Danio rerio: one gene and its partners. The protein of the gene in region 1 purifies or fractionates together with the protein of each later gene. This does not show direct contact. Links are inferred from orthologs where the notes say so. Each region holds a gene or a part of one and is shown in the gene's direction. Other genes may lie near its edges.

Evidence for each region.
Region 2: the proteins of phlpp1 (region 1) and sugt1 purify together in Homo sapiens (affinity purification with mass spectrometry; 5 studies listed by BioGRID and IntAct, with this or other methods). This does not show direct contact. The link is inferred for Danio rerio from reciprocal best matches to the Homo sapiens genes PHLPP1 and SUGT1.
Region 3: the proteins of phlpp1 (region 1) and usp46 purify together in Homo sapiens (affinity purification with mass spectrometry; 7 studies listed by BioGRID and IntAct, counting the BioPlex papers as one, with this or other methods). This does not show direct contact. The link is inferred for Danio rerio from reciprocal best matches to the Homo sapiens genes PHLPP1 and USP46.
Region 4: the proteins of phlpp1 (region 1) and wdr48b purify together in Homo sapiens (affinity purification with mass spectrometry; 5 studies listed by BioGRID and IntAct, with this or other methods). This does not show direct contact. The link is inferred for Danio rerio from reciprocal best matches to the Homo sapiens genes PHLPP1 and WDR48.

The regions. Positions count from the first base shown.
Region 1 is NC_133177.1:264,156-272,436, forward strand, and holds the start of phlpp1 (PH domain leucine-rich repeat-containing protein phosphatase 1), read left to right. Parts: upstream 1-3,402; 5' UTR 3,403-3,620; intron 3,621-3,741; 5' UTR 3,742-3,872; coding exon 3,873-4,872; intron 4,873-8,281. UniProt on the Homo sapiens protein: Protein phosphatase involved in regulation of Akt and PKC signaling.
Region 2 is NC_133176.1:29,653,432-29,661,526, forward strand, and holds part of sugt1 (protein SGT1 homolog), read left to right. Parts: intron 1-664; coding exon 665-735; intron 736-2,263; coding exon 2,264-2,317; intron 2,318-2,411; coding exon 2,412-2,440; intron 2,441-2,881; coding exon 2,882-2,901; intron 2,902-3,004; coding exon 3,005-3,101; intron 3,102-8,095. UniProt on the Homo sapiens protein: May play a role in ubiquitination and subsequent proteasomal degradation of target proteins.
Region 3 is NC_133195.1:25,681,372-25,690,077, forward strand, and holds the start of usp46 (ubiquitin carboxyl-terminal hydrolase 46), read left to right. Parts: upstream 1-3,288; 5' UTR 3,289-3,314; coding exon 3,315-3,350; intron 3,351-8,706. UniProt on the Homo sapiens protein: Deubiquitinating enzyme that plays a role in behavior, possibly by regulating GABA action. May act by mediating the deubiquitination of GAD1/GAD67.
Region 4 is NC_133177.1:53,195,212-53,202,139, forward strand, and holds the end of wdr48b (WD repeat-containing protein 48), read left to right. Parts: intron 1-3,310; coding exon 3,311-3,503; intron 3,504-5,666; coding exon 5,667-5,762; 3' UTR 5,763-6,398; downstream 6,399-6,928. UniProt on the Homo sapiens protein: Regulator of deubiquitinating complexes, which acts as a strong activator of USP1, USP12 and USP46. Enhances the USP1-mediated deubiquitination of FANCD2; USP1 being almost inactive by itself.

The DNA.
Region 1 (8,281 bases):
CAGGCTGGGTGCATTAGGACCGGCAGGGTCACGTTGGTGCCGTGACCCGTATGAGGGTGAGTGTAGCAGAGGCCAGGTAAACCTCACTGCTCTGACCTCAGTAAGACAGCAGTAGTCATGGTCTTTATCCTCCTTGTTAGAGCACTGGACTCACATGCAGAGAGTCGCCGGGTCAGTCCCAGCTCTGAGCAGGATGGGTGGTGGAGGATCTGAGGGTTACTCGAGCTTTTAGAGCATTTCTTGGATCCTTCATCATATTTGGAAACCTGCAAGTACATTTATTATGTGCAAACAGCGCCACACAGTGGACGATCTGCAATTAAACCGCTCTAAATGCTTCATTACTGCTGTATGAGCAGATATTGACCACAGATGAGATTAAAATGTCAAAGTTCATCAGTAATGATGATCAGAAATAAAACATGACGACTATACAGGCTCATAGCCAGACTACTGAAAAAGTGGACATTTTTGCAGTTGTTCAATATTATTTATTTCTATTTATTTATGCATTTTAGTGACATTTTAAGAACTAATCTTTGCCATTTTTGATCATTACCACACTTTTCTGATGCACCAAAAATATTTCCTACAATTTCGTCAAAGTACTCAGCATGCTATTTTACTACAAAGGATTTATAAAAAAATTGCATTTAAATTGTAAGTTAATGCTGTTTTATAAACAATATGAGATTAGCATTATTAAAAAATTAATAAATATGGAAAAATACTTATTTTTAAATACATTTTTTTTTTATTATACATCTTGCTTTAAAATAAATCTGAAGGCAAATAACAAATTGGTCAGCTCATTCAACTTTCCTCAGTCAGAATTTTGCGACTTGAATAATTAAAAATGTAATGAATCTTAAAGACTTCTTCTATAGATAATTTTCACAATGTATGACGGCATATCAGTCAAATGGAATAAGTGAGCTCATACAGGGCTCATATTCTGCACTTTGTCAGTTTGGATGATTGTCTGCTGTCAGCTTTAATCAGAAAATGTGATTATAATGGAAGTCAATCTGCATTGCACACAAACTGAGAATGCATCAAGGCCAGTGTGGTCCAAGACTAATAAACCATAAACATATGAAGAGTTTAGATGCATAAACCTCTAAATGCCATCTGAAATGTTGGGGTATTTTGGCAAAATCCTGTGTGTTCAGTAAATCATTGCATTAAAAATAGGTTCCTTGCATTGCCTTAAAGAGAAATAGCTGCACATAAATATATTGGAGGCTGAGAACAGTGCTGACTTCAGAAGAGAACTTCAGAGGTTTTTGCATCTAAACTCTTCATCTATTCAGTCCCCAAATCCGGGATCTCATGAGCTTGGCCATGGATTTATTTAAAAACATTTATTAGTTTTGATCATGACTGAGGTTGATTAACAGATGTGTGCAGAACAATGTTTATCATCAGACACATTCACAGCACTTTAATTCAGAGGGTGTTTTAAACCCGAACATAACGAAAGGACGTTAAACCTGAACCTCCTGAACCATTGACGCGGGTTACAGATGTCCTCAATCAGCTGAGGGCGACAGAATACTTATTGATTTATTTTATTTTTTTATTGAACAACAAATATACAATTTAAACATGACATCCAAAAAATACAAAAGTAGCTAATAACATAAATTAAAAAATAAATTAAACAAATAAAAAGACAATTCAGCATAGAGATCTTTACAATGATAATACTCATCCAATTGACAGCAAGAATACTAATCAAATAACTTCAGCTCCTTTGCCGCAATAATTGTATTTATACATTTTTAGCTCTTAAAATATTGGAGCGATTCTATATACAAATGAAAATCTGCAATAGCAACCTTTAAACAAGGTTTAGTGTTATTTAACCTGCATTTATGAACATGAAATTTACCGAACAAAATTAAAAAATTCAATAAAAATTCCAGATAAATTCTTTGAAACAAATTAAAAATATAACGTCTTTGGGGGTCAAATTGCAACTAAAACCTGATTTTTTTGTTTTTGGCATACAATGATAGATCTTCCCAAATTTTTTTAAATATTCACAATCATAAAAAAGATGAATCACCGTGTCTGAGTGATGTAAAGAGAATGAACAGTTTCCATCCGTCTGAGTAAATTTAGTTAATGTTTGATTACTAATATAAATGTTATGTAAAATTTTTAAATGTTCTCTGTATTTGTTACCTACGCAAAAACGAAAAGGAAGCAACCAAGCTTTTTTCCACACAATATCATCGAAATATACATTCCAAAAACATTTTCCTCTAGGTTTTAAGGCTCTATTTTTGAAAAATATTAATCTAATAACTTTGTTTGTACATTTTTAACTACAAAAGTGTACCCCATGTAAGTAAAGCGGAGGATATTTCTATAAATATTGATACTAGCCTATATGAAGACATGTGACTTCTCATTAGCATTAGTAAACCGATGGCTTTTGTTACATAGTTATATTCTTTAAATGTAATAGGGAATGACCATCTTTCCATACAATTTTTGTAAGAAAATAAATTAGCTGATTGGTCCAAAATATCAGACAAGAAAAAAATACCTTTATCTGTCCAATTTTGCAGGTAGAGAGATTTGCGATTAACAGTTATATAAGAATTATTCCACAAAATTGCTTTATGGAACGAGAAATTGTGCACATAACACAACTTCCATGCTTTAAGAGCTTGTTGAGGGCGACAGAATACTCTGGTAAAAGTCTAGAAGAGTTGTGCGTCACCCAGCGCTGTCTACCCTCTTCTCCAACTGTGTGTGTGTGTGTGTGTGTGTGTGTGTGTGTGTTTCTCTGTGTGAGCGACAGATGGCAGTAACACTCTTCAGATCTCCAACTCATCTGCGTCAGCCCGCCGACATGAACTCCCTCAACATTTAACTTGACATCTATATTCATTTAAATGACTTCCAATGAGCGAAATCATCCGCGAGACTGATTCCCTGCTCATAACCCGCGCTCGCGGTCACTGAGGGACAAACGCTGAGGGAGAAGCGCACGAGTTGGCGGACATTTATTTGAGATGTGATAAGCGCAGTGAGGAGCTCAGCTTTCCGAGTGTGTTTACCGCTGACTGCTGCTGATTTAGTACCGTCACACACACACACACACACACACACACACACACACACACGGTGAAGAAGAGAGTGACGCACCAACAAAAACAAACGCGCGGGGCATCACGGGAAATGCAGTTCTACACCACAGCGACGTACATTCGATTCGTTTCGGTTTGTGGACACAAAATCTAGAATGGACAATAATGGATTTGATTTGAGAACAAAAACGTGAAGGTAAATCATAATAAAATACACACGCGATGCGATTAGTCTCCGAATGCTCCTGCGTCGGGGGCGTTGACTGGTTCTCGTCTCGCGAGACTTGCGTGAAGCGCCGCGCTTCCTTGCTGTATTTCACTCATCAACACACAGAACGCAGCAGCGCTTCAGGAACGACTGCCTTTAGTCGGAAACATCCGTTTAACACTAATATACTCGATATATCACCGTCACCGAATGATCGCCGAGTTCCACACGGGATATTCAACATCATCGTCATCATCCTTTCTGGAGCAGCTTCGTCCTCAAGTCTCGCGATGATCTTCCCTCTTCCTGTAAGTGGACGCCTCTTGTTTTGTTTTCTGACATTCGTGTGTGGATTACCCGCAGAACAGCGCAGATGTGCAGCACAGAATCTCAATTAACTCGAAAACCCATGTTTGTGTGTCGTTTCAGTGCGCCGTGACCGAACTCTCGCGCCTTTCTCTCTCGCGAGATTTACGCCGTTCTCTCTCAGACTCCATGATCTGCTGTCGAGCGGCGCGGCACGGCGCGATCCTCCCCGCGCGCATGGACTAACGGCGAGGATGGAGAGCGCGAAAGCGAAGAAGAGCGTGTGCGTGCGAGCCGAGGATGAGGAGGAGGATGAAGAGCAGAGCGCGTCGAGCAGCCCGATCTCCGCAGAGCCCCTGAGAGCCTGCTCCAGCCTGAGGAAGAGGAGGGTGAAGAGGCATCCGTCCAGCCTGGTGTCCGGGCCCCTGTCCCTGCGGCCCCGTCCCCGCCCCGGGCCCCTGCTGCAGCCGAGTGACCGTCAGTGGGTGCGTGTGGACCTGCGGCGCGGCTCGGTGCATGTGCACCCCCGTCTGCAGGTGTGGGCTCCGCCGCCGCCACCGCGGCCCGTCCTGTGCACCGTGGACTGCACCGCACTGGAGATCGCCCAGCGGCTCCAGCAGAGCAGCGGTTCTGTCCTGCGGCTCCGGGGCCCGCCGTGCGCCGACCTCCCTGACTCCTGTGACCCGCTCAGACTGCCACACAACGGGGCCGAGGGCCTGCAGGACCGGCTGCTGCTGCTGGAGAGGGACCCGCGGTACCCGCAGCCGGAGTTTGAGCTCTTCACACACTCGGCGTCTCCGCAGGACGAGGACTCCAAGCGCTTCTCGGATGTGGACAGCAGCAGTGTGTGTGAGGATCTGGGGCCCGGGGCCCACTTCGGCCAGCACCGCGACTCCCTGAGCGATGATATGATCCTGGGGACGGAGGCGTGTGCGCTGAGTCCTGTGGAGGGCCTGGATCCGTACGGCAGCTCCTCTGATGAGCTGGAGCTGGACCCGGGGCCCACAGCGGCCCCCAGCGCTTCTCACACTGCAGACTCGGGCCCCGCTGACCCCAGTGCTCCCGAGGATGCAGAGTCGGGCCCGGCGCTGTATGTCCAGCTGCACGGCGAGGCCGCACGCCGCCTGGGCCCCGAGGAGCGGCCCCTGCAGATCCAGAATGACTTCCTCTGTAAGCTGGGCTTTAAGGACCCGTGGCGCGTGCAGGAGGAGGGCATGAACACCGAGCTGGGCTCACTGCTGCGCTTCTACGCAGGTAACACTAAACACACACTACAGCACACGGCTCACACTCACATCTGCACACTTTAGTTCCGGCCCCAATGGACCCTTTGCTCATCAAGTACACATCAAACAGGAGAGTACAGCACATCATTAATACAATACTGTTAGCTGACATAATGACAGAAGCACTCCAGGATAGTGTGATCCAGACCGTCAGGAGGAGGAGAACAATAGTGTGAGACTGATAACGGCAGCCGGAGGAGAGAATAACGGCAGGTTTACTGCCCCCCCCACACACACACACACACACCTCACACACGGGAGTTTGATGATGTAACACACACATAAACGCATGTCAATGTGCACACGCTTATTTAAAAATCTGAATATCTAACACTTTCAAGAGTTGAAGATGCTGATGAGTGTTGAACGTGTCAGAACACTGATGTGGAAAGGGTCCATCACACACCTGATCACACTGATGCGGTGCTGCAGGTGAGTGTGTTGGAACTAAACTCTGCAGGACTGGGTTGGACCGGGCTGCATGACATGGCATTGCAATATTTTGTTTTTCAGTGATGTATATTCCAGTTTCACCTTGGCATGGGCTGGTGTTAGATTCTGACGGTTTGATGACCCAGGATAAAATTATCGTGGTTTCGCTGTACAGATATTTTCTTTTTAAGTGTCTGCATAAAAACACAAACTTTTTACTCTTCTGAACACAGCATATTTTATTTTGAGAAACATTTCTAATATTTTGGAGCAGTGAACACGTCAGGCTAAATAACTCAAATGAATGATTGACCTCTGCTGTCTTCATTAAATCTAAAACTCTGATTTCTTTATGTAAAATGGCATCTTTGAATGTGTTTTCTGCTGTCCTAAAAACATAAATAAGAAATTCTACACATACATTATGAACGGTATCGCAGAAAATGTTGATGCTTTTAAAACCTTGACTTTTCCTAACCGCAGTATACCCGGTTATCATCCCATGCCCAGTTCACCACATGGCCTGAAGAGCTCTATTTGGGGGAAAAGTCTTGAATTTGGATTGATTGTGGGGATTTTGTAAGGGTGTAAATCATGCATAAAAATGAAAACTAAGTCGACGCAATAGCCTAGTGGTTAGCGTGTCGACATATGATGCAGGAGCGTGTCAAGGCGTCCCGAGATCGAATCCCAGCTCGAGGACATTTACCTACCCTAACCCCTCTCTCTCTCTCTACAACTTCGCTTCCTGTCTAAATACTGTCCTGTCTAATAAAGGCAAAAAAGGCCAAAAATAAATCTTTAAAAAAATAATAATAAAATAAATAAATAAATAACTAAATTACAGCAGGCAGAATTACAACAGAGCAAAGCACAACACAGTGAAATAAACGAGCTTTATGGCATCAGGAGAGTCAAACAGTCTTCAGGGACTGACTAAGAAAAAGTCAAATAACACTGTAAAGTCTTCATTCATTCATTCATTCATTCATTTTCTTTTTAGCTTAGTTTTTTATTCATCAGGGGTCGCCACAGTGGAATGAACCGCCAACTTATCTTGCATATGTTTTACACAGTGGATGCACTTCCATCACTGGAAAACACACACACACACAAACACACACACACACACACACACTCATACAGTACGGCCAGTGTAGTTGATCAGTTCCCCTATAGCGCATGTGTTTGGACTGTGGGGGAAACCGGAGCACCCGGAGGAAACCCACACCAACACGGGGAGAACATGCAAACTCCACACAGAAACACCAACTGACCCAGCCCAGACTCGAACCAGTGACCTTCTTGCTATGAGGCGATTGTTCTTCCCTCTGCGCTGCTCTGTGAAGTCATCATTTGATTTAATATTCAGTAAAAGTAATCTCCAGTAACCTGCAGATGTGTGTGTGTGTGTGTGTGTGTGTGTGTGTGTGTGTGTGTGTGTGTGTGTGTGTGAATGCTTTACGCTCTCCTGGAATGCCTGTGAAACACACACAGATGATGGAGCTCTGCTTATACTCTGCTCTGACTCCACAAAGCTCATGTGCTCATCTGTTCTGCTGATCAACTCTAATCCTGACTCCACACTGCAGATCCTGGCATCTGACTATTGTGCACACACACACATTGCCGTATGCAAAACCATAAATCATGCAGCCCTAAAACACACACACACACACACACACACACACACACCTGGATGTAGAGTAGCAGCAGCGGCGGCTGGACTGATGATCAGACATGGTTCTGGGCATGGCAGTGTTGTGCTTTCTCTGAGTTGAGCTCATCTCTACAGCTGTAGTGCTGCTCTGTGCAGATTGAGTCACAGCAGCTCAACACAGACAGAGTTCTGCTAAACTGAATCTGCCGGCTGATGTGGACCGTTTGGAGTGTAGAAGTGGACAGTTAAACACAGTGAAAGTCTTCTTAAAGCTCACCGTTCAGCCTTAAAGGTCCAGTCAAGTGCTTTGACGGGCATCTTTACTCGATGTTTGACTTGATCTCAATCAAAACATGAAGAGAGGGCGGGACATAGCAAAGCCCCTCCCCTTTTTAAAAAAGCAGCCAATAGCATTTTGTTTTATCACAGCTCTACCAGTGAGAGTGGTCATCAAATGAACAGCCAATGAGAAGCGTCTTAAAGGGGGCGGGGCATGTCAGACACTAGAGAGCCATTGATTGGTCATGATGTGATGAGGAACTGAGGTATGAGGAGACGTGAGGAAACCGCTGGTCCATTCAGTGTTACATCTTCTACATGTGAATTTTAGGACTGTTTTGAGCACATTAGCTTATAGATATCCCAAAAAACAAACAATACTGATACTAACATCTAAACAAACTTTATTTTAATCCATGGGAACTGTAAATGATCATCCTTCACTCGTCCTCCACCTGTTCCTGAACTGAGTCTCTCTCTTCTGTTGAACACAAATGATTTAAAGACACCATTCACCATCAAATGAAAATTTCCTCCTCATTTACTCTGGTGTTTTTAACCCTTTATAAGTTTTTTTATCCTGCTGAACACGCGTGAAGATATTCTGGAGAATGCTGGAGGCGGCAGGAACATGCAATACTCAGTTTCTCTCCAGCGTTCTTCAGAATATCTTCGCGCGTGTTCAGCAGAAGAGAGAAACTCACCCAGGTTTGGAACAGACGAGTGAATGAGGACAGAGGTTAGATGTGTGGGTGAACTGCCCCTTTAAAAATGACTTGATTCAACTTAAAAACTGAAGGCAGCAACACATTTTCCAGTGTAAACCCCCGTAGCAGATCTCTCACATAACGCACCACTAGAAGATCACACAAGATCTGACTTTACTAACTATATTAAACACACATCATCTCAGCATATGCGCATTACTGAATAATATTAGTCTTAATATCTGCTGCAAGACCACAACACCAGTCATAAGTGTCATTAGATGCACAAGTTCATTCAT
Region 2 (8,095 bases), on another chromosome or scaffold:
ATCTGCTCATGGTTCGGTATCTATCATGGTTAGGCTTCACACATGACTTAAGATTTGCATGTTCTCTCTATAATTAAAAAAGTAGAACATTTTGAAAATTGGATATTTAAATAAAATCTTTTTAAAAAATAGAAAAAAGCCTTTTTCTGTTTTACACATTGACTCAACTGTCTCAATCACTTATGCAAATAATAATAATAATAATAATAATAATAATAATAATAATAATAATAATAGTTTCAACAAATCTTAATAATTGAGCACTTTTAAAGTATTGACTGCTTCTGCTGGGTCTGGTATTTTAAGTGTTGAGATAAGGAATGGCCACATAACAAAGTGGTTAATATATATTTTTTTAATCATGAGAAACACAGTAAGTAATGTTTGTTGTATTGCAATGCTATATAAGTCAAAGTAAATTTAGAAATTACACTTCTTTCTTTTTTATTTGTGTTTTCCATACTGTGCCAACTTTTTCTGATTTGGGTTTTTACATCATAGTCTTCTGATGGGCTAAGCAAAGAATCTGATCATGTGTAACATTCTAGGACAATGATATCTGTCATGTATAGTAATATTTACTGCTTGCCAATTCACAATACTTTAAAAAAGTTAAATATTTTAAATGACAGGCCTAATGTTCTTTTTGTCATTGTTTTTGAAGAATTGCGGAGTATCACCTACATAACTTTGTCGCTGCTCATCAGGCCCTCACAGCAGGAAGAGACCTTGACAGTGAGTTAATTTTTTTTCAAGTATGGAGTGTAAAGGTAATGCGACACCACATTAATTTGATGGAAATGTGATATACTGGCTTATTATATTGTAGCTATGATAAAGTGTCAATTTGTGTGTATATAATTGTATATTTGTGTGAGCCACAATGACAGAAGTCACAATGAGACAGATAAAAACTATATATTTTCACATAATCTGGTCCATGTTGTTAATTAGGAGGTCAACTAAAAGCACAAGTGGTTTCACTTTCTCTAGAGAGCTCTATTGTTTATATTTTAAACAACTTTTTGTAAGTTTTAACATTTCAGAGACCATAAGGCTCAGTATATGTTTTTTTATTTTTTTTATTTTGTATAATCTCAGATGTTACAGTAAGCTATTTCACATTATCATCTGCAGCTATATTCAAATCATGGTTACAAAATGGTCTGAAATTAACATTCATACATAAGTATTTATGTATATAAAGCATTTTAAGAAGTGCTTCTCATATGATATTTGAACTTCAAGCTAGAATGACCTCGACTGCCACTTTCTGTCATATACCATGCCAACCAAAAGGGTGCCAGTGGATTACTGTAAAAAAACAAGGCTTCATTAGCATTCACACTAATCAAGAAGTCTATCTGGGAAGAGATATTCTGAACAGTCCTCACTTAAGCATGCAGTAAGTCACCAAGTGGGCGATGTGTGTATTCACAGTTAAATGTTAAACCTAAAGTGTGGGAAGAATGATCAGAAAGAACAATTGCATTAAAATGCAATGCTTAACTAGAGAAAGCTTATTTTCAATTAAAAAAATGATAATAATCTGGGAGAAAGATTGATGGGCATGGGAAAAAAGAATAACCATGCAAAGAAGGATTGAAGAAATGCTAGTCATCAGTGAGAAAGTTACTTTCTTAGAAAGTCTACCAGTTTTTGGGTTTAGGCAGATATTAAAGACACTCCCAATAATTAAATAGATAAAATGTACATTTGGTAATACAGAAAAAAAAATCTATCTTATCTACAGCTAAGTTAGGTGTATAGACCAGCTGTCAAAATTTGATTGATTGCTTCTGGTCTAAGCCCCGCCCCTTTAAGCCAACTTTATACTTCCAGTAATTAGATTCTTATCAATTATATATATTATAATTCCAGTTGTTCAAATTGTAATCAGATTAATGAAACTATAATGCAGGTCATTTTAAGCTATTCAATTAGTTATTAGATCTGTTATTATATTTTAATTATTTATTTAAAATTATTATAATTCTATTATTTTGAATAAACTATTTACTATGTTATATTATAATTAATAAACGCATATAAACATTTGTTTCTGTTTATACTAAAAAGATACCATGCATGAGAATACTGCAGTTTAACTGTATCTGAAGCAAATATTATTGGCACTTAAATGTATAACATTCATTCATTGGTGCCTTTAATTGATGCTGTTGAATTTAAAAGATGTCATTGCAAAATTAGTTTATATTAATTATATATTAATTACATTTTGATATGTATTTGTCATACAAAGGTTCTGTTGAAGAATTTCAAACATGGATGCAGCACTGTGAAACTGAAATGGCGAGTATGTATAACGTAAATTTTTTTTTTTAATTCAATATTAGTTCGGGGATTGTGTGTATGTGTATGTCTAATACAATAGTTTTCTGATTTTTTAGCACACATTCCAAACAAAACTTCAGATTTGGTAAGTGTCTGTTTACTGTCTTTATCTATATGTAACTGGAAAAGAAATATACAGTATTATGCTAGTGCTTTAATTTTATTGCCTGGTTTTTATCATCTTAATTTAAAGAAACACAACGAACCCTTAATTGAGAAAACTGAGTAATTTGATACATGAGATCAGTTGTTTTTGTTAAACGATGTGCTGTTGATGAATTTTAATTGTTAGAATATTTTTTTAAATATAGAAAAGTGGTATTTATAAAATGTTGTAAACTTGATCAGTTTTTTTTTTGCCATGACCTAGCCAAAGAAGCTGAAATGGCAATAAACTCTCTCTCTCTCTCTCTCTCTCTCTCTCTCTGTCTCTCTCTCTCTCTCAAACAATGATTTGTGCTTTTTTTTTATTATTTTCCCTCTGTTTCTGCTGAAATGCACTTACAACTGACTGTTTAAACAACAGCAAACTACAACCCATGTCAAGTAAGTATGGTGGTGTAATAATTTTATTTTAAATTCTTTGTGTTTAGTAGTACAAATATAGAATAAAATTGCATCACATTTAATGAATTTCTGCTTCATTCAGACATGATTGGTACCAGACAGAGTCTCAAGTTGCAGTTACCATCATGGTAAAAAATGCCAAGAAGGAGGGTGTGATTGTCAGCTTTGGCGAAAGGGAGGTAATGTTTCTCTCCTTTTTCATGTCATCAATGATTATGCGCTGTACATAGTTAAGGTTGAGAGGTGGACATCATGGTATATAAATAAAGCTTTTTAACTAATATAATAAGCAGCCATGTGGCTGGTAGGGTATACATATACGGTGACATATGCATAAATTGACATAAACATACAAGTGCACATTCCAGGTAAATGAAATGTCTGTAAAAGGCAAGTGTATAAGAAAACTAACCTGTCTCTTCTTGGTTTGGTAGCTTCGAAAAATTTAATATAAAGCAAAAATATGAGTTTATATAAAATGGGGTGATTACAAGTCTAATCAGTAGGGCTGGAACGCTACACCAAAGTCACAGTTTGGTATGTTCCCTGCTTTTGGGGTCACATTTTGATAAGAGTTTAGTAAAACAGTAGGGCTGCACCATTGACCCTTTGCTAATCTACACCCAAAAACCGCCACCCACCAATCGTGGCTTAGCAACTGTAGCTACACGCAGGGGCTCTGTCAAGCTTTCGAGTGAGTGCATATGGATTGTGCAAATCTGATACCTGGTATCCCTAAAGTTTGGTCAGGATGGTGGAATTTTTTCCCTTTTCAAAACCAAAAACCCAAGAGGAGAAATGCCAGCGTGGATCAAGCTCTGTGAGGGGCACTAAGCGGAGTTAAGTTGGTTTTGTTTTGATATTTCTGACACAATAAGTGATAGAACCACGGCAATAACTCACACACCTCTTACCCTAAACAGACCTAAACTGTGTTTCCTACAAAAATACAAAGCAGGTTATGTTTCCCAGCTGTCTTTTTCTTTTTTTTTTTCGCTCTATATTATGAGCACTGCTCCGTTTAAGGCTTCGCCATAGTAACTTAGTCATACTAATAGCGATTAGGTCATGAGTTATTGATCCGGAAAATGCAAATCTGTTGCTAACTTTACTTAACTTCATATTTCCATCTATTTCAAGCTACGAATATTTGAAATTACAAATCAACAGAACAAAACCGAGATATAATCACAAACTGAGCACTTGCGATCAATATACTTTACCAGCAGCTGTTTTTCAATATTTTATAATAAGTACACAAACATACTGACAGCTATAGATAACTCACTGTACATTGTTATGGGTCAATGATGCTAATATTTAGCACAAATCCTTGAGTTTCCCCTTTCTGGCTGTTCTTTCTATGTATATACTATGTAAAAGCACTATCATGCGTGTTTCCTCGTTGGTTAGTAATGGTATATTTCATTGCACAAAAATTAATCTATCAGGCTTTTTGGCTAAAAATAGAGAAATCACGGTTTAATTTGTTATTATGGGATTATTTTTAAATTTCACCTCTACTGCCGAGTATGAACTAAGCTGTTGAATGGTTAGAGTATGAGGCGGCTAGGTTAAGCTAGCTTCAGTTTTGATTAAATTATTCTCTAATCGGTTGCCTTTTATGTGGTGAATATACCCCTGAAATGCATACTGCAGTCCTTTTTTGTCTGGCTTTCTCGGACATCTCACCTGTTCGCCAAAAATTACATTATATCCCTGGCAATGTCTGACAGCGGCGCATACACATTGTAACAGCCGTGCCAGGCATGATAGCTTGTCAGGCGTAGCAACAGTAACTAAGGAGGTCTGGGCTTAGCGAAGAGTCAAATTGTAGATAAATTTGAATTGCGATTGATCTGATCAATATTGAGATTTAAAATATGATTTGCAACAATTTCTTTAAAAGAGCTACAGGTTTGATGTGGTGGTTTTAACATCACCAAAGAAAGACCAAGCATAACCACAAAGTATTATACACTATGCTAATGTTTATTTAAAACCTCTTAATATACATCTCTATTTCCTTATTATATTTTTCTGAAAAATGTCACCAATCACTTTTTTTTTTCCTGGAACGTTAGTGGACTTGCCTCCCAGACAAAAAGTATCAAAGTTTTAAAAGAGCCCATATTATACATGAAATAGAGTCATATCTTGGTTGTAAGGGTCTCCAACAACAGTCTAATATGCATGCAAGGTCAAAAAACACTTTCATGGTCTTATAATCTGTATTTATTTTTACCTAATTGTCCCAGCGACTCCTGTATGAATCGTCCAGTGATTCATTTGTTCCCAAACCCCTCCTTAGCGCGAAGCTAATCTGCGCTGATTGGACCGATGACAGCCTGTTGCGATTGGTTGACTGCCTTCAGTCAGAGTGAAAAGCCAAACAGCTAATCAGCAATATAAAAGTAATCACAGTTCATACACGCTCGATAGTGTAGGCGTGGATTTTAGCTGCCAGTGGGTCAATGTAAATACAGTCGATGGACTTGAAAATTCAAACGACTATTTTATTGAGCAAAAACTCCAAAAACTGTCGAGGAGATCACATAGCTTGTCTCACTCTGCCCTTTTTACAGACACACACACATACACACACATTGCCCTCGTCCTTGCGTGCGCACGCACACACAAAAACACACACACACACACACACACACACACACACCTCAGGACGACAGCGAACGCGCACATACACACTACCCTCGTCCACGGAGCTCCGTAAACAAAGCAGCACGCGTCGCGTTTTTAACGTGACTTTGCACGCGATAAGAGAATATAGCCAGTTAACCTGATACAGTACACGCGGTTACAAGTAACAAATCACAACTAAATACATTTGCAAGCTAGAGTCAACGAGGCAACAACTTTAATCGCACGTACTTACACTTGAGAAATGGAGGAAGAAACCCATCCTGACGTCCATCAGTAAGTTACTCTTTACTGATCCTTCCTTTAACAAACGCCGATAAAGTATTCTTTGTAGCATGTAGTTTGCAGAAGTTTCCAGTAGTTTCCAACTGCTTGGTTATAATACTGAGGTTTCATCTTTGGCGAAACGCCTAATGACTCGGTATCAAGGCGACTCGTTTGAAGCGCTATGAGTCGACTCTTTTATAGATGAATCAACCGTTTTAAACACTGTACTCTTACAGATTTAAGCCTTAGCTGGATACTTTACTTCACTTAGAGCTGTGTTACACACTACATGGAGGGGAATTTTCAAAAACCCATAATATGGGCTCTTTAATCAATTAATTACAAGCAGACATGCCGAAACGATCATAACATCTGATCATAACATAATTAAATCATCACAGTACAATCATTCTAAAATTCTCTCCACATCATCTTCAGCCATCATCATTACTAAAAGACTAACATCACGCAGCTTCACACTACACTGGAGAACTAGATACACTCTCTCTATCTCTATTTATCATTTTTATTGTACCACTGTAAACATTTAAACATTAATGCACACCATAAAATTAGTCTCTACACTGATGATGTATTATTATATTTACGAAATCCTCAAACATCTTTACAAAATACAAATAAACTTAATGATACGTTTTCAGATATTTCTGAATACTCAATCAACTGGAGTAAATCTGCTATACTTCCATTAAATTCCACCAGTGTGGATGTGACATCCCAAACATCACTAATCCATCAATGTTTCCCCCAGGCTGTCAGAGTTGTTTTGACTTAACTATACTTAAAAAAGATCATTTTCAACATTGAATGAATCCATTATGGGCGGAATATCTGTAACTAAAATGTGTATGTTCCTCAAAATAAACTATTTATTTTCAAAGATTACAGCACAACCCACTCGTACCATGTTTAAATTTTTAAAACCGTAAAAATCCCAAATCCCAAAATCCCAGAGTTAAAAGGTTATAAAAAAAAAAAACACATTGAGGTCTACTTTCTGGCAATTCTGATGTAAAGCATACAGTGGGTACGTAAAATATTCAGACCCCCTTAATTTTTTCTCTCTGTTCTATTGCAGCCATTTGCTAAAATCATTTTAAGTTCTTTTTTCCCCTCAATGTACACACAACATAAAATTGACATAAAAACAGTGTTTTTGCAGATAAAAAAAAAAAAGAAAAACTGAAACATCATATGGTCCTAAGCAAAAGTTCCTCTCTTTCAAAATTATTATTAATATTGTCATTTTAATGTTGTTGTCTTTATTATTATTTTTTTTTTACAATTATTATTATTATTATTATTATTGTTATTATTAATATTATTGTTATTATTACTATTACAACTACTACTACGTGCACAAACAAACATACAGTTGAAGTCAGAATTATTAGCCCCCCTGAATTATTAATGCCCCTGTTTATTTTTTCCCCCCAATTTCTGTTTAACGGAGGGAAGATTGTTTCAGCACATTTCTAAACGTAACAGTTTAAACTTATTTCTGATAACTGATATATTTTATTTTTGCCATCAGGTCAGTAAATAATATTTTACTAGATATTTTTAAAGACACTTCTATACAGCTTAAATTGATTAATTAGTTAATTAGGTTAACTATGTTGGTTAGGGCAGTGGTTCTCAAACTGTGGTACGCGTACCACTAGTGGTACGCGGGCTTCCTCCTAGTGGTACGTGGAGGAGCTGGATAATGAAAGAAACAATTAACACTTTTAATCCTTTGATGCGTAATATAACATTGATGTGATCAGCATTGGCTATTTTGTGAAGCGTACGATCACAACGCTGTGCTTAGAATGTTTATTTTAGAGCATTGTGTCAAAAGCTGCTGTAAATCAATTTAAGAATTGACTCTGAAGCTTGATTTGACTGACATGAAAAGTAGCCAATCACAGTCGACCTTGTCTAGTTGCGTAAAAAGTAAGGGCGGGACAAATGTTTTCTGTGTTGCAGAGACAGAAAAACAACTTTAAAACAAATGTTTTGTTGGAATAATGCTTGTCGGATGTTTTCACTATAGCGATGTCTAGCAGAGTAATTAAACCGCGGACATATTTTCTGCCATTTTGATGATCTACATACACGTTTCGGTCTCCGACAGCCAGTCGACTCGCCTCTGACCTGTCACTCCTCTAAATACATTCTGAATGGCAGCGCGGGAATGGAGGTATTCCGCAATAACTCATTTCTGCTAATGTGGCGAGTGCTT
Region 3 (8,706 bases), on another chromosome or scaffold:
TCATTTTCACATGAAACTGAGCATTGCAAAGCAACAAGTGTACAACCGGAAAGAGCGGATTATAAATGCAATAATTTTTTCTTAATTGTTTTTCATAATCGTTAGAAGTAAAAATCGAATTTGATTAATTGCAGTTACAGTGCAAGTTTTGAAACAGCTAAGGCCCTGATAATATATTTTTGTTAAATAAGAATTTGTGGCCAGCTGCATCATTTTCAGCAGCAATCACATTAAGCAACTCTGAGGGTAAACTTATTCTTTGCTCGCATAAAGGCTATAGAATTAAAACCTTTAAGATGTAAATCTAAAGCATATTTACAAATTCATCCATCAAATTGTTAGTACTTTTATATTAAAATAATTTTTACAGTAAATAAACAATTTACACATCTTGCAATCTTCTTAGTCATTTATCCCCCAAAAATGCAGATACGTATGGGTGAATGAAAACACAAAAGGTCATGTCATTAAATTGTTTATTTTTTGTAGACAAATAGTGTGACCTTAATGTTGACTATTCAAAAGTTAAAAAATAAAAAATAGACAAGCTCACTTATAATAGATAAATATTGTTTATTTAGACAAACCACCAACACAACTGTATAGAGTTGACTTATTCTACATTGTCAAGCACTCATTGAGTGATTAATATTCATTAAGCTTCCACCTAGAGACAGATTCTGCCTGAACTTTTCCAAATAGAAAAATTCATTCTCCATCACAGGTACAGGTAAGCCACCAGATCACCGAACACAAGGCCCAGAAACGCAGCCATTGTGACCTGTTGAGGGAAAAAAAAAAAAAAAAAAAAAAAACTTAAAATTCAAGTTACCAAATTAAGCACTGCATTTGGCAAACTATCTAATATTCACATGTGCCTTGTGACAGGATCCAGACTCAGAGAATGACCTCTGGCCTGGGTTTTAACAAGAGCAGCTCAATATACCCCCCTGTTATGGCCACTAGAGACACAGACAGCCTCCAGTGGGCAAAGCGTAGAAGGGAACACTGGACTTGTTAACAGTCTGAACATTTTTGAACTTACAGATGTAACCAAATGCATTGAACAGATTAAGGTGCTGCTCTATGCATCATCTGTTGTCTCCTTTTGTTCTAAAATGTTAAACTAGCTCACGCAATAAATAAATGAATCATGGGATGACAGTTACTCACCGAATGATTGCAGATTTCTCTTCCTAGCCTTTACCTCCTGCAAACAAAAGAAAACAGACTAAATATTGATCTTTTTAAACAGAAGTAATGAATATAATTGTTGAAAAGTTGTTTCTCCCGACAGGATCCGAAGCATGGAATATCAAAGCCAGCACTTCAGGTTTTTGAGAGAATTCTTCTGCCCCCCTGTGTTATTCACTCAAGCCATAGAAGGACTTGAATGTGCAATAAAAGGGGCTGACAAAACAGAGCTGAGGGGCTGAGAGGCACCACACTCACCAAGTAACTGTGGAAGGATTCATCAACAACTGTGGGCTCTGGAACAAGACCATCTTTAAGCCTAAGCAAGGAAAAAGCAATCATGTTAATTTCTGGGTTTTATTTGCAAGCTTTTTCCATTGAACAAGAACTGACGCCAGGATTTGTCTGGTTAAAAAGAAAACAATGAATGAAAGTCATTTACAAACAAAATCACAACGTGTTCTCTACAGATACAATTTGTAAATTTAATTTACAAAAATTTGAGCCAATTCTTTTAAAAATAGGAAAACTAAAGACCATAACTAAATATTTAGCGTCTAATAAATTGGCTTTAAAAGATAAAATCAATATTTAATCTTGACTAAAACACAAACTCGCTTTGAAGAACAAACAGGGAAGAGCATGCAACATTTAATGTAATTAATTTTGACTTTATAGATGTGTGGATTTCATGCTTTGTTTTAGATTTGTGCAAGGGTGAACAAACACCTTAGAACCATCACAGAGCTAAAACTCTTCCTTTTAGATATTAAATATATATATTTATATATAAAAAAACACTTCCTTACCTTTATATTTCAGACATTGTAGTAATTGGTGATTTCCTCTTCAGTCAGGGGGCTCAGATGGCCAGTCTGTAAAAATAAGTTTAACATTAGGCTAAACATTAGCAAGTAGACCGCTAACTCACCACGTGCTGTGTAGAGAACACGTGGCCTTTTAATAATTAAAAAGTTACTAGTGTTTAATACTAACCTTAACGTGACTTAATAAATGCATTGCTTCATTATTTAAAAGATATTTATTATAAAAATATTTACCAAGCCTTAAACACTTCTAGAAAGCCCACTATAACTGTTCAGGTTAAATAATTAAAACATTTATAGTCCAAGTTGCAAATACAGGAGTAAAATAAAACATAGAGTCTATTTAACTAATTAAAAAATACAATACATATGTGCATTAATCTGAGTATTTAATCTCACCAGAGGTAATTTTGCCTCCGCTCATGTTTTCTGTGCCTGCTCTCAGGGATTGTGCAAACGGAAAAGAAAGAACACGTGTGACCGGTGCGAGGAATTCTGGGACTTTTAAGGGGACCGCCTCTAAATTCATTTCGCCTCTTCAGATGATTTGGGGAGTCAATCTGATCTGATTCACTCTGATGATTCAGACTGATCAGCAAACAAAACGTTCTGACCGGTTTTGAGAAAAGAATCGACTCAGTAGAATCACACACGCTATTTTGCATGGCTGCACAGCACACGAGGCAGTGTTGTTTAAACTAGATAAAAATTAAGATCAATATTTTGTGAAAACAGACCTATTGTCATACATTTTGTCAGAAAAGTAAAAATAAATTTACTTTATATCTGCATTATATGTGCATTCTTAGGGGCTTGTAAGTGGAAATGGTTGTTACTTGATTTAACCCCTTTATCTATCAAATCCAAATTCTACTGGCCACAGCGAATTTATCAACTGATGTTCTCACCATTCATTGGTCAGTTGACCTGTCCATCAACTGACCAGCGTTTCGTGTCGTACTCCCCAAACGCACCAATCGGGACTCAATGGGCGGGGTTTGACCGCTAATCCAGGATGTGAATGTTTCGTTTAGGACGTGCAACTGGCAAAGATGTTTACAATAAGTTTATCCAGCATTTTTATTCTCATTTGCAGTGGCCATGAAGAAAACATCTAGATGAAAGCCGCCGACGTTTATCTCACGCTTTGTTTGCACTTTGCATGAGCGGCGGGAATTGAGTGGTCACTGATTGCTGTCCTCCGTTGGGATTGCAGCTTGGCCTGTCAGTGTTCCGCTGTTACAATCATGTTTATTTCATAAAGATGGCAACGAGAGGCACCTTATAAACTAAATGACTGTCAGAAACATCGCCTCCATTTGTAATATGGTAAGTAGAAGTGTTTGGATAGCATGCTGGCTAGCTCTTACGTAATGATGATGGTTGAATGGCTTTCCTCAAAATCAGGTGCATGACCTCATTTATGAGCTGATGCATGCTTGGATCACTTCTCAAGTAAATGCAGCTATCATAACTAGACGTGTTTGCTTGCTCATGTAATAAACTGTGACTGAAAGCTTAACTGCCTAAAATGAGTTTTACAGTCAGTGATTCCGCTTTGTTTTGTGATAGTATATGTAGTGTGAATCTTGTCATTTTAAACAATCAAGCAATCTCAGTGAAAAATATCTGTACTTTTTTGTTGCAGTAGCTCTTTCTATATACTCCGTATTTTCTAACATGTAAATAGCGTATTCATTGTCTAGTCGTTTTTGATTCTGACGTCATTTTGAATGTATACGAATATTAAACAGTGCTGCAGGTTGGTCTACATACAGAAACATTTTAACATTTGTTTTGGAGTTGCCCATTATAGCAAGCCGTTTTGACATTTATTCAACAGCCCGTACTAGTATTTATTTTTATGTTAATAGTACTTACTTTGTAGATACTACAGTAGGATCTTTTCCATTAAATAGTAGTGCTTATTCATTATACTAGTGCTTATTTGTTGGACACTAGTGGTGCCTATTATTTAGATACTAGTACTTTTTCTTTAGCTACTATTGTCTTTTGTAAATTTACTAGTACTTATTCATTAGATACTAGTTTTTATTCATTAGGTCCTAGTACTTAAATAGATAGGATGTATTAGATACTAGTACTTATTCATTAGATACTAATACCTATTAAATAGATACTAGTTCTTTCTTATTAGACACTTATTAATTAGATACTAGTACTTATTTTAATAGTGACTAGTAACTATTCTGTTGTTACTAGTAACTTTTTTTTCCCATTGATTTCTATAGGATATGTCATTGAGATATCGACTATTCAGTTTTGACTAGTGTGTATTCCAGCTGGGACTAGTACATATATTTTTTTTATGTACTAGAAGGTAATCATTAGGTACTAGTACTCATTAATTAAATACTAGTACCCAATTAATAAACAATAGTATCTATTTATTATCTACTAGTACTTAAGTAATATATACTTATACCTAGTATATATGGTTACTAGTCACTATTAAAATAAGTATTAGTATCTAATAAATAAGAATTAGTATCTATTTAATAGGTACCTAGTATCTAATGAATGAGAGTATAGATATATACATTAGATGTTGCCTACCCTGCTGTTGTCTATTAGAAGGAATGCATCAGCAGAGCCGCCATTTTAGTACAGGAAATGAAATGAATGCGGGACCAAGATGCAGTGAAGGACTGTGGCCATCCAAAGCCAGAGATATATACACGTATATCTCTGATCGGGAGTTTTTCCGGTTGTCAGTATGCAAATATTTTTTTTTTTAATTACAAAAATTTAATTTTACATCTTTTTTCCACTGCATTTTCGGCATTGCCGACAAAGAGTATATGTTTGTGTGCATGGAAATGTATTATTCTCTCTCCTTGTTTAATTTGGTCTATTCCGCGTCCTGAAACACACCCCCTCATGCTTTCACTTCTCATTCTAACGGAGGGAGTAATTCGTTTATGGGATTCCGTTATGAACGACTCGTTCCCTTGGCTGACAATAATACAAGTTTCTGGCACTGCAGCAACTTGTTGTCATATTTCATAACATTGTTTGCTTATTTTATTCAACAAAACTAGCATAAGCCTAGTATTTAGTGTGAGTTGGTGCTCCTTTGCCCTATGGTGAATGTAGTAAGAGACTATAATAAGATAAGAGAGTATTATCATCATCAATATTTGTTAACCACAAAAGTTCATAACATAAAAATGTAAAAAACTAAATCTTACGTATTAAATGTTTTGCCTTAGTGCTTTGTTTTCTTTGTTTGCTCGTTACTACACCCGTACACAGCGCTAAAGTCCAGCATCTTCACATTGGCACACTGTCTTGACCACTTCTGTCCTGGGAGCACTGTACAAATGTGGCGGCGCTATTGACGCATACTCAGGGTATGCGATATCTAGTGTATATATATCTATGATAAATGAGTACTAATATCTAATTAAAAAAAAAAGTGTCTAATAATTAAGCACTAGTATATTTTTAAAAGCAATAAAACACTTAGTATCTAAAGAATAGGCACTAATACCTATAAATAAGCACTAGTATTTAATGGAAAAGATACTAGTATCTAAAAAAATAAGTACTAGTAGTAGTAACATAAAAATAAATACTAGAACAGGCTATTGATTAAATGTCAAAATGGCTTGCCATATGTAGTTACTTTTTGATGGATTTCTGTTTTTTATTAGAATCAACGTTATGTCCAGCTTTCAACTTTATTTTAAAATGTTTTTTTTAAACTTTTTTTTACATTCAATAGATCACTATACAAAGAATATTTATTGATCAATTTATCACTTCTGTTGGTAAAAGTCAGTATACAAAAGCCATTATTTCTTATTTTAAAATCAGACTTTAAGCTGTTTATCTGACAAACAAAAAAATCTGTTAAGTATTAATGAATGCAAACATTTACATGTTTTTATATATTTTTTCCTTTCGTTGTCGTCATCCCCTGGCTTTTGTATATTGTTCTTAATTTTGAATTGTCAAAAAAGTGCTACTGGTCAAATGAGCAGTTACTGGGTCCCTCAAACACGTAATATACTGTAAAAGAAACCACAATTCATCTGAATATGTCTGGTTCGGTACGGTGGCACAATGGGTAGCACAATCGCCTCACAACCCTAGCTGGCTCAGTTGGCACTTCTATGAGTTTGCATGTTCTCCCCGTGTTTGCGTGGGATTCCTCCAGTTTGCTCTTGTTTCCCCCACAGTCCAAAGTCATGCGGGACATGTGCATTGAATGAATAAGCTAAATTGGCCGTAGTGTATGTGTGAAAGAGTGTGTATGAATGTTTCCCAGTACTGGGTTGCAGCTAGAAGGGCATCCGCTGCATTAAACTCATGCTGGATAAGTTAGCGGTTCATTTTGCTGTGGCGACCCCTGATTAATTAAGAGACTGAGCAGAAAAGAAAATTAATGAATGAATGAATTTAGTAATTAATTTACTACACATTATATTAATTAATTGTATTAATATTAATTATATAAATTAATTAATTATAGTATAATACACCATGTTTGAATAGCATTGATTTTTTTCAAAACATTTTCATTGACATGTTTTCATTTTGGTTTGAGTTGGTCTTTTAGTGATTTTATATCCTTTTGTAATTTTAAATTGTGCATTTTATTATTTCACTTTCTGTTTTATTAGTTTTCGTATGTCAAATTCAACTTTGTGTAGAGTTCAGACAGTTTCCTTGGTGTCTTTGCAACAGCATAATTGTGTATTTAAGTACAAAGTAATATTCATTTAAATTAATTATCTTCTAAAAGGACAGAGTTGCATGAAAAAAATTGTTGTTTTTATAGTAGCTGGGGAGAGATGAGCAGAGAAGGTAGAGCTTGTCAAGGATTCTGCAAAATAGAACTTTGTATTTTAAAGTTGCACGGTATTAAAATTCCATGATTAATCAATTAAATTTTGCTCAGAAAAAATGAGTTTAGTGTTTCATGACCATTTAAGTAATGTAATTTTCCTGATTTTTGTTTCAAAAGTTTGCAATGTTGGATTCATCTTTGGTTGGCTTTTAAAGGACATTTTTGTTTTTCTTTTTTTATGGAAAAATTGTTTCCACAATCAGTGTTGCTGAAAAGAGAATTTGTGCTAATGCATTCTATGGGAGCAGAGCCCATTGTTTTATGTAATACTGGTGTTTCTGCTGGATATCTGACATTGCATGAATATTTCAGTGCCTGAAACTGGCCTGAAGCCTGTAACCACAGTCAGCTCATCCTTAGATATCTGCAGGTGCTGTGTCAGCCTGGGCTAGATGTGGTTAGAAACATGAAGAGTGAATTATTGCCAGCATGAGGGGGCTTAGACTTAACGTCTGACTGCTGTTTAGTGCTAGTTATGTAACCCATGTCCGGACAGGGTTCATTTGTTCATTGGTGTGTGTGTTTGGGGCCACATCTTGTAGTGGCTCATTGGCCATGGATACAAGGCAAGCTAATGAAATGTTCTCCTTTATGTCTTCCAGGTTCAGTCCTGTTAAATGACCTCATTATTGTGCGATTGGTGTGCACAACTACATGTCTGACCTTCAGTTTGAAAACATGTGTCTTTTATTACATGTACTTTCGATTGAAAACAATCTAGCTTTAGCTGCTTTAGTCAGGCAATATAGTGGCTTATGTGTTTGATTTGTGTATGTGACCTTTTATATATGGAATGTTGTTGAAACAATTGTTTAAAAGAAATGCATCCCACATTTGTGACTTTCTTAAGAATTTACATATCACAATTCATGTTTTCTTCTTAAAATTGTGAGTTTATATGTAATATAACTCTCGCTGAGTGCATATCTGCAATTCTTGACCTTTAGAAAAAATCTTCTCATCACATAATGTTTTGACACAGTGTCGCAATTTCAAAAAGTTTTTGAAAGAAATTTAAAGAAAACAATGTTATGAGAATCCATCAAATAAATTAGTCTGCTTGGTAAACAAATTGTTGTAATCAGTTTCTACAAAAACATCAGCTTCAAGTGGAAATTCAACAAACAGGGTATATACAGAAATATTTATTAAATACTGATTGTAAGAAACGAATCCTAAATTAAAACGTTATTCATATACTGAACAAAAAAGCTAATCCAGCAGGTGGCACCTATTGACAAAGTCCCTTTAAGACAACTCAATTCACTCAAAATCTGCAGAAACTCATGTCTGGTCTAAGCCCCTCCCCTGGAGTTTTGTCAGTCTATAACGATCAATAATGGGCTCCTGTGCTAGAAGGCAGGCTTTATAGCCATAATGACTGTTACACTTTTCTCTATTCAAAACAATACGAGTGACATGTCTTGTGTATTCTACTTTGCTATTCGCCTTATTCTTTGCCTGTTGAATCTCTTTGGCTCGAGACTAGGCATGGGCCGGTATAAGATTCTGACGGGATGATAATCTTGGACAACATCACGGTTTCATGGTATTATGATTACTGCTTTAAAATATATTATTTTCAAATGTCTGGTAAAAAAAACTTTTTTCCCTTTTGAAAACAATATATTTTATTTTTTGAAATCTTTAAGATATTGGAGGAACAAACATGTCAGGCTAAATAATTGAAATGAATCATTGACTTCTGCTGTCTTCATTAGTTTCAAAAACACAGATATCTTTACCATTTAAAATGGCAACCTTGGATATCTTTTCTGCTGGAGATACAGTTTCCCTAAAAAACAGAAG
Region 4 (6,928 bases), about 53 Mb from region 1:
GACCAACTGGAACGAGTCTGACAATCGAGCCTAAAGGCTGATTCAAGTCTTGTTCTAAATAAAAGCAACAGCATGCGATAGAAGTAATACTCTCCATATTAAAAGGAGTTTTTGTTCTAACCAACACCTGAAATTTTTATTTTAGAAACGGCTTAAATTACTTAAAGCTGAACTACAGAAGGCTGACAATGATGATGATTCAGCATGTACGTTTAATAATGTTAAAGAGGTTTAGTATGTATTAATTACATTATAAACCTTACCATTTCATTAGCGAGTGCATATTCAGTGTTTCTGAATGACTGTATTTAAATTTCTGTCGTGTTTTGTCTGGTGCAATCAGCCAAATTGCTTATCACTGCAAATCTCGTCACGTAACGTGTTTTGACACAGGGTTACAATGTAACCTGCTCACCTAATGTTTACTCTCGTAATATTATTTTCTAATTAATAACCTCTTGTGGAACTCTGAATCTGCATCTCATTTCGGAGTCTGCTACTGTCCACCGGAGATCGCATTTTGGTCACGGATGCATGCTTTCAGAGTCTTTTTGAATGAAATATGCTGTTTTCCACCAATGCAACCGGTGATGCTGAAATATAATTGGTTAAACTGGCATTGGGCGAGTTAAAAGAACCAAAAAAAAGACAGCCGTTCCGGCACATAACGCACGTTTTCAAAGCAGAATATCTGACTTCAGCATTGTTTTTCAGATAAACAAGAATGTTCACTTAGCATGTTTCTTAAATATCTGCAAACATATTATGGTATTTTTATACTTTAGAGGAGAAAAACTTGCATACAGCACCTTTAGTTAAACACTATTTAGACATACTATGAGTCTATTTTGAAGTGTGTTTAGGTGTTCTTGTGCGTGTTGGAAATCCTTGAATTGGATTCTGCTGTTTTTAAGGTTTGAAAAGTCTTTAGCTTTTGGATAAAGTGCTTGAAACTACTTGAAAATATAGTTATTCTGCTTTCATAATAATTAGTTCTTAAATAGGTAAATAATAATGAGTTAAATAAAATAAATATTTTTTAAGTCTGTGCGTATGCACATTTACAATGTGAGTTAATTACACTTCAGAGAGTAAATGACTAGGGGTGTAACGGTTCGCAAAAACCACTGTTCTGTTCGATACAACACAGTGGTGTCACGGTTCGGTATGTTTTCGATACAGCAAAAAAAGAAAAAAGCCTGAGGATTTCTCTGATTTTAATTTACTGGCCCTATTATTAGTTAACAATAATAACTGTACTGTGTTCTCACGGGTGGTGTCTGATATTGCACAGATGATATTGACATATAACTTATTATTTGCGTGCATTATCTTAATAGCAGTAACGGTCTTTTCATGAGCTGCAATATTAGTTTCATCTCAGTGAATGCATGCTCTTTAGCGATGGTGAACACGGTGTCAGTCGCACGATTGACAGCATCGTGATGATTAATTATGTTAGAACATCTCGTGCTTAATGTGTAGATTCAGTGGCAAACACTGTTACCTGAAAACTCTGTCCCACCGGCTTTACGGTGAATGCTTTAGTCATTTTCATAGCAGACTTTAAACACTGGAAGTCTTTTATCCACTCTTCAAAAAGTGTAAATGCTGGATTGACATTCATTACATTTGTTCCTTTGGTGGTTTCTATAACTAAATCTGTCAGTGTTATTTTCATTCTCTCGTATCCAGACCTTTACGTTTTTGCGGCTGTAGCTTCCTGTCATTGGAACTCAGCCATTGACAGCGATATTAACCAATCCATTCGCTTTCTGTTCTAGCGCAGTGGGCCAATAAGAAGAGCTTGAAGGTGGGGCAAGCATTGTGGGCTTAGTTTACTGCAACTTGACATGTCAACTGTTTTAAACCATTCCCGAGTGCTGCATTTGCTGTTTTTAGATGCTTAATGCGTGAATGCCTCCCAATTCCGCGCACGTGGTGAACATTTTGCTGTGAAAACTGGTCGCACGACATCAATTTTATGCACTCCCAAATATATTTTAACGTCGCATATATAAAATTTTGGGCGCATATGCAACCAAAACAATTAGTTGCAATTTCGAGCCCTGTCTCATATCCACAGCTTTAAATGTACCGAAAACAAAGTGTTCCCAAACGCCAGAACTGCTGTTGGTTATAGGAGGATTACATTAACAGTATACCCATTTTGCGAGCTAGTGCAGTGTTTGCCAAACCGAAAGTCTCGTACAGAACTGTTCAATACGAATACGTGCATCGTTACATCCTTATAAATGACAGTAATTCAATGTTGGGCTTGGAGAAAACATGCCATCACATTTTTTCTTAGAATACTGTACTGCACTATACTACTAAACTGTACTATATATAGTAAAGACTACTTCATTTAGTAAACCCTTTGGGAAGTTTGATAAACTAATTTTGAGAGGAACACATGATATTATTGATAGATAGACAGCTGGTCTCTCACCTGTAATCATCAATGAACCTATCAGATTAATCCAAGCCTACAATAAATAGACCATTTCACCTTACTTCTCTTACCTTCGTTTTGGAAAAATCCCCCCCTTCCACCCCATCTCCCCCTTTTCCTCCTCTACTAGAGGGAGTTCACTGGAACTACCTGCTCTTGGACCGCCTTAAATGCTAAATTACCATGTGGTAGCCCTGGGCTCAATTATCTCAGACCTCAGGCTTCTCTCCTGGGACAGCATGCCAAACCTGCCATTATTATCAAGCAATATCTAAGTGTGAACTCTTAAATGTACAATTGAGGAAGCATTTAGCGATTTAACAAGAAGAGGCAATACACGCAAGAATTACACAATGGATCTCTTCAGAGAATTAAGTGCTAGAGTTAGGAGGGAGTAGTGTTATTTTATTTATTTATTTATTTATTTATTTAAGAGAGAAGAGTGTTTCTGCAGGTGGTTTGTCAAGCCCACTTACCTGTGTGAAGCTCACTTCATAAATGCACAATGTTTTTCTATTTCTTTTCTTTTTTTAAATGTCGAGTGATCTTAAGAAACTATCAGGTGCAATTTTTTTCTACAGATAGTTTTTCAAGCCCACTCACCTGTGGGAGGCACACTCAGAATTTGCATAATGTTTTGAGGCTGTTGTGTGGTGTGGAAAGTGACAATAACACGTAGCATCAGATATATGTAGCATAGTATGTAAATATGTCATTTGCCACACCTGTAAAGTTCTGGAAATCATTTGAAAATGCATCTGGAAAGTGTTTGAAAAGTGCTTAGATTTGACTTGTTTAGTGTTTTTTTCCGAGATCAAGGTTTTGGAGATCCTAATCCCGCTCTGTTGTTTTCAGGGATCGCCTGTCAGCTAGCGACATGCTGCAGGTGCGCAAAGTGATGGAGCACGTTTATGAGAAGATCATCAACCTGGACACGGAGTCGCAGGCCACCAGCTCCTCAGCCAATGACAAGCCGGGTGAGCAGGAGAAAGAGGAGGACGTGTCGGTGATGGCTGAAGAGAAGATTGAGCTCATGTGTTTAGATCAGGTTAGACATGCTATCGGATTCTTTAATGCTTCTAGACACGAATAAAAGAATAAAATAATGTACTGATTATTTGCTGTTCAACACTCTATTTTCCCTCAGATGCTGAAACTAATGTAAATAAGGTGACAGTTGATGGTTTTTTAATTGCTTTGGGATTGTTTTCGAATTTCTTATCAGTGCAGTCCAGTTAAGGCTGATTTATACTTCTGCGTCAAACACCGGCGTATGCTACGGTGCTGACGCATAGCCCTTCGCTGTGGCCGTCGGCGTCGCTGACGTGCACCTCTCAAAAAATGTAACTACACGTCACAGCCTCTGTGATTGGTTGGCTTGGTAGTGCTGAAGAGTCTGGGAGGGACCGAGAGCCGCGTGAATGGTGCGAGCCTGATGGAGCGATTGTTTACAAGTGTGGAGTCCCATGAAGGAGCTCCTGATGGAAAGTTTTGTTTTGTGTTTACCTCATAGTTAAAGTTGTTGCACCTCCGCACTTGTACATACAGGAAGTGTTCAGGAAAAGCAAAACAGCAGCGAAGAAACTCGACACAGAGGAACATTTACACCTCACTGCCAACTAGCGTTTTAGAAGTGTTAATGCAGACCATCAGAGACAGCGCGCAGAAGTATAAATGCACAGCTACGCGCGTTGCATGCGCCGTGGGTTACGCCGGTCACTTGACGCAGAAGTATAAACCAGGCTTTAGTTTTGTTAAATCTGTCACATTGATTAACCCAGGGTTAAAAGTGGCTTTAATCTCAGTTAAACAGTTTTAAAATACTGTAACATAATAACTTGAGTAAATCCTTCTCTGCTTCATATGTTTGGTCGCTTTTAACCTACATTTATGAATTAATGCTCATTAATGCACTAAATTTTGTTAAAATTTCAGGGAGTTTTATGTAATCTACACTGTGTTGCTTGAATTAGTGTCATTTTTTTAAGTTGGTGAAGTTTTGTAATTGTGTTATTTTAATATTTTATTTTAATTAATTCATTTAATTATGTATGTGTAAATATTCTGATTTTATCTCTGCAACTAACTAAGTTTCTTTAAATGTTATTTTATTTAAAGTATTGAAAGATTATGTTTTTAGATTTAATTAACTCTGGTTCAGACAGGCCTGTTCACACCACCGCAAACAACTATGAAAATAATAATAAAAAATATGTTAAACCTTTAGAAATCACTCTAAATTTAAAAAAAGCTCTCAATCACCTCTTTAACAAGCTTTAACAATGAAGTCACTTAATATTGTTGTAATTTCTTTCATTATTCTACCTTTCAAGTAATTCTTCCAGCAAATGATTTATAAAAACATTGACAATGTTAAAGTGGCAGATGATAAATATTTACAATGAAAATTATGATGATTCTAATAAACACAAAATTAGCATATATTGATAAATATGGATGCTGCTAATATAGTTTTAGTTTGTTGTGTGAACAGTCTTAAATGGAACAAAACAGTCCTTCAGCCACATTGTTAAAGGGAAAGTTCACCCAAAAATGAAAATCGACATCAACTTATTGTTTACCTGTTCCAAACATGTTTTAGTTGAACACAAAAGAAGATATTTTGAAAAATGTTGGAAACCTGTAACCATTGACTTCCATAGTATTTGTTTTTCCTATTATGGAAGTCAAAGGGTTTCAGCATTCTGTAAAACATCTTCTGTAGTGTTAAAAAAAAAAAAACTCATAAAGGTTTGAAAACACTTGATGGTGAATGCATAGTGGCTGCGTCTGAAATTACATTCTTCAATGATATATAGTACGATTAAAACAGTATATGAGCTGAGTAGTATTTCCAAATTTGAAAAACATTATGCAAGAAATTCCCGAATGACTTCAAGCGAGATTCTGAAGTGCACATTGGATAAACGCTATGCTATCCCATGATGCACCACGAGAGAATTCCAGCATGGGTCAGTCACGTAATCATGACAAAATGGCGTATGGCAAAATGTAGTACGTCCGAGTTTCCTTTATATTGCTCACATTCATATTGTGTAGAACATACCTTTCTAATGGTGAAGTTGTACATTCAAATTCAGTAATAGGGGATTTTGGATGCAGCCAGTGAGTACATTTTTGTTTTTGGGTGAACTGTCCCTTTAAATTAATTTGTGATTTGTTTTTAACAAATGCTTGCTGTATTTTACAGGTCTTGGATCCAAACATGGACCTCAGGACTGTGAAGCATTTCATCTGGAAGAGTGGAGGAGACCTGACCATTCACTATCGACAGAAATCCACATGAAGACCTCTAATCGCTGTACAGAGCCCGTCACGTTCAACCCACATCACTCTGACTTCCAGAAGAAGCATCCCAGAATGCCCTGCTCTTCTCAGGTTTGACCGTCACCTTCAAGGAATTTTCTTTTTGTCCTTCTCTCTTTTGCAGTGGCTAAAATAACAGAGCCAGACAGTCGGTGGAAGGTTTAAGACTAGAGATTGACGCAGGTGTCATGACATGCTGTGAACTGAGACTTCATCATTCGTCTGCCTTCATTTCAGATTTTTCTTTTGTATATTTATTACTGTTGTGTTTGCGAATGTGTCTTGTCCAGCTTAACAATAATAATGATGATGCACACGTATACTTCCATTCTCAAGTCTGAAACATTCCTGATGGCGTTTCTGATGGAGATCCAGAACTGAAAACATGCTTTTTTATCGTCCCTATTTTTTTGTCCTCCACAAGTAAGCTACTTTTATTGTCTAGATTTAACAGGATGTTCACCCAAAATTAAAATGAATCTACATTTTTTTTACTCTGGTACATCAAAGCTTCAAAAGTACAGCAAATTCTGTTAAACACGCTGTATATTATGAATATTTTAGTGGTAATCAATATGCAACAAATAAATACAATATAACGTGCTGTTTAATAAAACACACCGACTGTTGTTCGCATCATTTCCAAGCAAAAACTCTAGGCTACAAGATCCAGTTCTGAAAAGTCTTCTGTCTTCAGTGTTTTTGATACATAAATGTTGCTAACGTATTATTGTAGCCCAGTTCGCGCTGTTTACAGTGGTATTCACCACTTATACACTACCTGACTAAAGTCTTGTCGTCTATCCAAGTTTTAGGAAGAACAAATAATAACTTGACTTCTAGTTGATCATTTGGAATCAGAAGTGGCTTTTATGAAAGGCAAAGGCCTCTAGATTACGCTTATTTTTATCAAAATAAAATATGATCATGCCTGGATTTTCAATTATTTAATTAGGACAGTAAGGTCTGACTTTGCTTATAAGCTCATCTGGAATAAAAAAAAAATTAAAGAAAGCATTCTTGCAGGACTCCCAGAGTTTATCAAGATTCTTTAGATTCATCTTCAATGCCTCCTCCATCTTACCCCAGACATGCTCAATAATGTTCATTTCTGGTGACTGGGCTGGCCAAATATGAGAAGGAGCG